2 linked regions of the Coturnix japonica genome follow. The protein of the gene in region 1 interacts with the protein of each later gene in a pairwise test. Links are inferred from orthologs where the notes say so. Each region holds a gene or a part of one and is shown in the gene's direction. Other genes may lie near its edges.

Region 1 (3,512 bases):
GTCAACTTTTGTTTTGTTTGTTTTCAAAACATTCAGTTTCTCTTCAGTTCACCCACGTGTTTCACTTCTAACTGAGAAACACTGTTTATAACTCAATCATTGCTGCTGATTTAGAACCTACTGTGTTTGTAGGCAGTCTTAGTGATTCACTTAGGAGAAGAACCTTAGCCAGACAGTGATGCTTCATGAGTGATGCTGTTAAGACTTGGAAGAGAGCCATGAGCCAGCATGATGACATGGCTGACGGAAGTAGGGACTTCACCGCAAGGAGCCATGATATGGGTTAGGGTCAGGGCTGGGTATGTGGGGAGTTCAGAGATAGATACAGATTGCAAACCCACCAGCACTTTCGCAGTGATAGGGCAGGTCCATAGGCAAGCAGGGATGCCCTACTGATGCATTCAGGTCTGGGACAAAGCGAATAGAGGCTGAAGATGCGCATAGGTGCGTCTGGGACCTTGCTGTGATCGAGGGGGCTACTGGTATGCCCACAGCTGAAAAGCAGCTCCCAAGGGAAAGCAGGGCCAGGTTCTGGCTTCCAGTGCTCTTCACAAGAGCTCTTAGTGGAGAAGAACTGACATAGGACACAGCCATCCCACTTCATGTCTTCAACAAGACTTCAGGGGTTCACTACGAGTCCTGATAGAAGGAGCATCAACATGTGCCTTCTTACAGAGAAGGGGAGGTAGGAAGAAGAGAAACTCGTGTTTGAGAGTGAAGCATTTGTGATCTGATTATCCTTCTGTGTTGAACATATTACAAAACAACATGGCTTAAATTGGGGATATATTTCACAACATTTTTTTCCTATCTAAACAAGAGCTGATGATCCTGGATTTTCTAGCTGATTGATTGCCAATTGCCAATTACCTCAAATTAATGAATACAATTGTAAATACTAGCCTGAACATGTCAGAAACAAAAACATATTTTGCAGAGCTTCTAGCTTAGCATTTGCAGTAATATTACTGAAGTGGTATTAATTGGCTGTCAATTAATGCTAGTCAAAACAAGATCACAAACGTCTGCCTAACCTGAAATTGCTTACCTAAATTGTACATGTAAGGCCTAATCTTTCAAGATAAACTGAAGTCAGTAGGACACCAAATCTGACCAATATAAGTTTACCATCACTTTTCAGACTGTGCCAAATGTAGAAAGGAAAGAATCAGATGCATCTGCCTGATGGGGTCCATGAGACTGCATCCAGCTGTCTTTCCAAGTCATTGCTGTTGGTGAGTTGTGTTTGGAGGGGGCCATGGTTCTGTAGATACCAGCTTTTAGGCACATCTTGAGCCACACTCAAAGCTTTCAAATATAGTCTTACAGTGAATTGCTTTAGAGATGATGAAACATAATATTTGAGTACCATATCCATAAGTCTGATCAGATATCTCACCAATCAAATCTTGAAAAGTATTAGCCTTAGTAGTGACAGTTACTGCAGTACTGAGAACCACTTTGACTGGGGAGATTTTAACAACAAACACCATGTCATGTATAACAATGAACTACAACTCTGTTATCACACACTGCCTTTGGCCAAGTTTGTTTATGTCTCTGAAAGCTGCAGAAGCTTAGACACCATAGCAAATATATGTTACAGCCAACTGAACAGGAAACAAAATGCTTCTCATTTAGCTCCATATTTTCAAAACAAGTTGTCTTTTCAAAAATAAGAAAGCAGCTTCCTTAGATCTGACAAAGCAATATCCTTCCTGTTCCTTGTCCCCACTAAGTACCTGGCTGACATTATTATGAATCATATAATTACAAGAAGGAATGTTGAAACACATCATCCACCACCTCACTGCTCAGCATTCAGCAAGTGTCGATGAATGTGCCAATTCCACATGTTTGCTTCATCTGTACTTTATCAAAAGAAAAAGCACTGCGTATTTTTCTCTGTTCACAGGACTGTGTCTAGCCAACGTATCAAAATCCATCAACGTATCTGCCAGCACTGTGAGCTGGCACTGCCCTGTGCCTCCATGGGGCTGATAGCACTCCCATGTTTGGTTGGTGCTGAGGGGCCGGGCTGCTGCCATGATGGCATGGGGCAGGGGGAGGCCACAGTGCCAGCTGTGCCGGGCTGCATGCAGCCTGTGGGCTGTGGGTTGGATGTGTCTGGAAAAATGCAAAGTCTCCACTGCAAGTTGGGGAGCCAATTATGCAACATTCAAACCAGATACTAGCATTGAATATCAATTTGTGTTACACCTGGTTGATTTTACAATGCTCTGATTTATTCAGCGCTTTGTACTTTATCAAACAAGCTGTCAGCAGTGCACTGCAAGTACAAGAGAAAGGTGGTTTGTAGTTGTTTATCTTATTATGAACTGTTTGTTGCTGTTACTATGTCACTGCCAGGCAAGGCCATTCACATATCAAGCATCATGCTGGGCACTCCAAGAGCATAATTCTCAGTTCTCTAGCTTCTTCTAAAAACTTCATTTTCCTTATTATTGACTTAAGATGTGCTGATGGGTGAGAAACAGGAAGTGAAAGTGATGCAAATCTGAAGCAAAGCTGCCTGTGTCAATAGCCAGTATTGCAGGTGAAACTAATCAAGAAAAACAAGCAAGTGGCAAATTGTGTTCAGAGAAGGAAGTAGTATGGATGGCTCTGGTGCCCTTTTGTGCTTTATCACTTGCAACAGTAACAAGAGGTCAAGCTTTGTCAGTGTTATCTTCCTCTTGGCAGATGTACAATTCACTTTTCTCCCAACAGGTAAATCACCTCGTTGGTTTGTTTCAGTGTGTTGTATTCATCAAGCCAAAGTGAAAGGATGACCTGCCACACCAAATCCCACACCAGATCACTCACATCCTGGCCAAGCCTTGTGATCACTGAGAAAACTGATTTCTCTGCTTTTAAATTAACTCTATGTTGTTTTGCTGTCAGGTACTGCACCAAGCATGGAGAATGACCAGTTCACCGAGAAGCAGCAGCAGGTTTCCACTTCACCTAGGCAAGACATTCAGGGACAAAGCAAGGAGGAACCTGTCCCCAGCTCACAGCCCCTGCCCCCCACAGACCAAACCAGTGCCCAGACTGAAGCAGCCACATGTGACATCTCAGAGGAGCTGAGCCGGCAACTGGAGGACATTATTAAAACCTATGGGTCTGCAGCAAGTCTGATGGAGAAGGATGGCACTACAGCAGGAACTGACAAGCTGGAGAAGGGAGATGTGGGCAATATGGAGGATGCAGAGTATGAGGATGCAAATGAAGAAAGTGAGAAAGACAAACCAGCCCCTGGAGATGCTTCAAGAGCAAAGGAGCCCAGCACTAGCAAGGAACAAAAGCTGGAGAAGAAAATCCTGAAAGGACTAGGCAAGTGCTTGTGTACTTACATAGCTATTCTGCTAACAGTAGTAAAACCTCCCTGGGCTTCACTTTTTCCTTTTTTAAGTCTTTGCTATGGCTGATAGGGACCACTGAAAACCACGGCAGCTGTCATAACTTTATTTGATAAAAATTGTCAGCAGTTACCTAAAAGATACAGTGGG
Region 2 (4,288 bases), on another chromosome or scaffold:
CAAGCAGGTCTGGAGCTCCCCCAGACACCAGCTGCCTCTGGGGCACAAGATCCCACTCCTCAGCCTATTTTCTCTGAGCACCTACTGTGCCTTACACCAGGCTTGGTTTGCAAATCATATTTGCCATGGATGGTCCCTAACTGCAGGCAGAGTCCTGATGCACATAGCACGGCCATACTTTCATCTGAAAGCCTCCCAGGAAAGCCTGCATAAGTGTATCTCCAGTCATAACCAGTCCATTTGCAAATAGAAGGAGCTGGTAGATATGGCAGAATACTCCACACACAAGCACAAAGCTAGTGAGATGGCTCTTCTAGGGACATGTTATACATCCCCGACATATTAGGTCACATAGGACTCCAAGCAGACCCACCTCCACCCCCACATCTGCTCCATAAGCTCGTAAACCCCAGATTATCCTCTCTAATCCACCCCAGGCTGGCGAATGAATCACCTGGCACAGCTTCCTCAGCGCCCGCTGGTTCATCAGCTTGTACTTCCAGGCCAGGTACCAGCTCCTCTTCTTGTGGGGCTTGATGATGGGGTTGTGCTTCCACTCGTCCATAGTCACAAGGGCTGCATGGGGTGAGGGTCAGGATGCGCTCAGCTCCTCTTGTGTGTCCATCGGGGCACCCTGTCCAGATGGGGTGGATACAAGGCGAGGTGTAGAGCACAGCCAGAGCGTGTCACCAGGGGTGGCTGTGAACGAGGACACAACACGAAAGCTGCATGAAACTGAAGAGTGAGCAAACCCTCCCCACCAGCCCCACAGGGACACGAGGCTGTGCTGGAAGACCCCATAAGGAGGACAAGGCCCAGAAAGGACCGTGCTGCTGCAAAGCCCACAGGTACATAGCGGGACACTGGGGCCGGGACGTGGCCCTGCGGTAAGGCCGGGCCTCCCCCACACAGCCAGAGGGAAGAGGAGGCCGAAGGAACGGGGGACACGGGGGGACACACGGGGAGGACGTCGGGGCGGACACAGAGCTCAGCGTGGCTCCGACCGCGCTACTCACAGTGAGGCCGGCGGGCGGTGAGCGGAGCGGGGCAGGGCCCAGCCCGGCCGGGCGCCGCCGCAGCCCCTCAGCAGCAGCGGGGCCGCGCCGCTTCCGGCGCCGCAGAGACGCGAGGGGGCGTGAATTCCTTTAACCCCGCCCACCTGACGGCGCTCTGCGCTGCCTGGAGGACTCCGCTGGTACGTGGGCAGGGGGCGGGGCCGGGAGGAGGTATCACAGTCTCATAGTCTCATAGTCTCATAGTATCACAGTCTGGTGCGGGTTGGAAGGGACCTTAGAGATCATCGAGTCCAACCCCCGGGATTCGAGCCTCTGTGTAGCAGAGCGGCACTTCTAGACTTGTGCCACAGGGGGGATTCGAACCCGGACTCCAGTGTTGCAAGGCGGCATTCCTACCACTGCGCCACCGGGGGAGGTGGCGTGGCCAGAGCGCAGGGGGCGTGGTTAAAGCGCAGGGGGCGTGTCCGTGGTGACAGCTCCGCCGCCTCCTCCCGCGCGGTGCCGCCGCCCCACCCGCATGGAGGGCGGTGGGGATGCGCTGCCCGCGGACCTGCGGGAGCTGCTGGGCAAGGTGGGCCGCCGCCCCCCCGCCGGGCTGTTAAGGGGGCTCCGCTCCGAGCCCGCCCCCTCCCCGCCGTCCCCGCTGCCGGCTCCGGTTCGCGGTGCCCGCCCGCCGCTCGCCGATCGCCTCCGTGCGCTCCGCTTGGAGCTGGTGAGTGCCGGGGGTGGGGGTACGGGGCCGTCCCGGGGCTCTCCGGATCTCCGCATCGCCGCTCGCCCCCGGGAGCCGCGGGTTGCTCCTCTCCTCTCTCCTCTCTCCTCTCTCCTCTCTCCTCTCTCCTCTCCCACGCGCGGGCACCGAACGCGGCGTTTCCATAGGGAAACCGCCTCACTGCGGCTGCGGGGTGGGGGCCCGTCCTTGGCCGTGTGCTGTCCCCGTGTCGCCTCCATCCCGCACTCTGACCGCGGAAGGAAGGTGCGGAGCTCGGGCTGCTGGGAGGAGGAGGAAGGGAGAGGAGGAGGAAGGCCGCCTGCCCCGCACCTTTGGGCCCTGACTTTGAACTGTGACCGATGTAACATTGGGGTTAAAATGCCATTAGGACCCGAAATGTGGCACGGCACCGCACCCGGCTCCGCGCAACCCCATTAATGCAACGGCGCTTCGCCCCGCGTGGGCGGCACGGGGAGGGGACAGCGCGTTCCCACTCGCTTTCCCTGAGCGAGGGAGGATATTGTGTCCCTGGGGGCAAATTCCTCTCTGCGGGAAGGAGGGAAGCATGAATGGGGCGGGGGAGTGGATTCTGCCCCCGTGCAGGGCAAAGAGCCTTTAGTGCCCTTGGGGGATGAAGGAGATGGGCAGAGTTGTTGTGAAGGTGAAAATCTCGACTCCAGCTTTGTCCCCTGACACTTTAGCTCATCTTTTCACCCCGTTATTCCAAAACTGGCAGTCTCCAAGGGAAAAAAGGTGCCAATGGGTGCTGAGCAGAGATAGGAGACTGCAGTGCTGGGAGGATGGGATGGAACAGGGAAACTGAGGCATAATGTGGTGCCCTGAGAACAGGGAGCCCTGGTGGGTCTCTCTGGGAAAGATACTTTGTGGGGAGGAGATGTGCAAATGACACTTTCCAGCAATGGGAACTAAAAGCAGGTAGTGTGTTCCCATCAGCACCCAGCCCCTAACATCTGAATCTGGAACCTTGCTCCTTCCCTACCCTCTGGCAGCACCACTCCATGTGCTGGGGAAAAATGGCACTGCTCAGGGCCTGGAGACAGTGTCAGGAGGTCCCAGACTCCCTCCGTGCCAGGGCCAGTGCTCCATTGGAACGTGTGGAGAAGCCTGCTGGAGCAGTTTGTGAAATAGCTTGCCTAGAAAGGAAGTTTCTGCAGCTCAGAGCTGGCTGCTGCCCCAATCTGGGCTGTCAGCAGCTCTCCCATCTTTTTTTTTTTTTTTTTCAGTCCAGCCTGGTGGCTTTGAGGAGGGTCAGGGAGGTTTGTTTTCAGATCCCTGCAAGTATCTGCCCATTTTCTCTGTACCCTCTGACTCAAGAGGCGTCCCGTGCCAAGACCTTGACAGAACTTTCCCATGCTCCATCCTCCTCCCAGTGGCCTTGTCCTGGTGCCTGCTGTGAGATGCAGACGGGGTTCCTCGGAGACCTGTTGAGGGGATGCTGCCATTTCCCATTGGGCTTGGCTGGAGTGATGCTCAGAGCTGCGTTCTGTGAGCTCCCAAAGCACGAGTGCTGCATGCAGCTTGGGTTGTGTTTGGAGATATGGTGCCCACAGCAGCCGATGGGCTGCCCCCTCATCTCCCCTCACCTGTACCTGTCCCACTGTGTGTTTTTTTTCTCCCTTCTCCCACTGCCCTTTTGTTCCCTTTACTGGTGAAATATTTTCCTCCTGTGCAGGGGAAATCCAGTGGCTTTCAGCGGCGAGCATCATACAGACAGGAATGTCTTGGCACGCTGAGCTTTCCATTAGGAAAACAGATGTTTGTGCAGCAGCTGCGGTTCTGCAGAGAGCTTCTCCCGGCCTTGCAGGGCAGGAACTGGCTGTGCAGGGAGGGAGTGGCGATGGGGACTCCAGCCCCTGTCCAGGATTGCTCCAGGATGGGCTCAAGCAGGACGGGCACTTTGTGCCACCTCTGTTTTTTTCTCACCTTCTAGCTGGGAGCTTTGGGTGTGACTGGGGTCTTGGGCTTCAAAGACTTCCATGATGTTTCTGTTCTATGGGGGAAAGGACCATTGTCCTATGGTCTCTGAATGCATGGAGGAGATCTGGAATCACTTGGGAAGTGCTCACAATACAGAGGTGGGACTGGACCTTACTCTGGGGGTTGTCCTACTGCATCCCTGCTCAGTGCCACCAGGGTCTGGGAGTATGTCTGGGCTCAGATCTGGACCCAGTGCCTGCATCTATTCCCTTGTCCCTGTTCCTGTGGGGGTGGCTGTAGTTGGGGATGGCTGTGTGAATGCTGTATGTCCCTGATGGTGTTGCCTGCAAGTCTCAGATAGGACTGAAGGGGAAGGGGAAGGAAGGGGACACGTTGTTCCCAGTGGGAACCTGGAGCTGGAGGTGGGCAGCACGTCCCCATGTCCCCGCCTTACCCTTTCTTTATCCAGCTGAGACTTGGGGTTCTCCTGGGATGGAAGGCACAGCACATCCATCTCGCTGAGCCACGCTTTCTGTCTCCCCACCAGGCATACCTGCGCGCAGTGGACGTGAAGATCCTGCAGCAGCTGGTGGCAGTCAACGAGGGCATCGAGGCGGTGAAA

The links. The genes of interacting proteins can lie anywhere in the genome.
Region 2: the proteins of TXLNB (region 1) and LURAP1 interact in binary tests that used the Homo sapiens proteins (3 or more experiments, as listed by UniProt). The two-hybrid records come from large-scale screens. The link is inferred for Coturnix japonica from reciprocal best matches to the Homo sapiens genes TXLNB and LURAP1.

The regions. Positions count from the first base shown.
Region 1 is NC_029518.1:48,828,081-48,831,592, forward strand, and holds part of TXLNB (beta-taxilin), read left to right. Parts: intron 1-1,141; 5' UTR 1,142-1,235; intron 1,236-2,904; 5' UTR 2,905-2,918; coding exon 2,919-3,336; intron 3,337-3,512. UniProt on the Homo sapiens protein: Promotes motor nerve regeneration. May be involved in intracellular vesicle traffic.
Region 2 is NC_029523.1:19,084,916-19,089,203, forward strand, and holds the start of LURAP1 (leucine rich adaptor protein 1), read left to right. Parts: upstream 1-1,478; 5' UTR 1,479-1,533; coding exon 1,534-1,728; intron 1,729-4,213; coding exon 4,214-4,288. Other genes in the region: POMGNT1 (protein O-linked-mannose beta-1,2-N-acetylglucosaminyltransferase 1), read right to left, coding at 455-565. UniProt on the Homo sapiens protein: Acts as an activator of the canonical NF-kappa-B pathway and drive the production of pro-inflammatory cytokines. Promotes the antigen (Ag)-presenting and priming function of dendritic cells via the canonical NF-kappa-B pathway.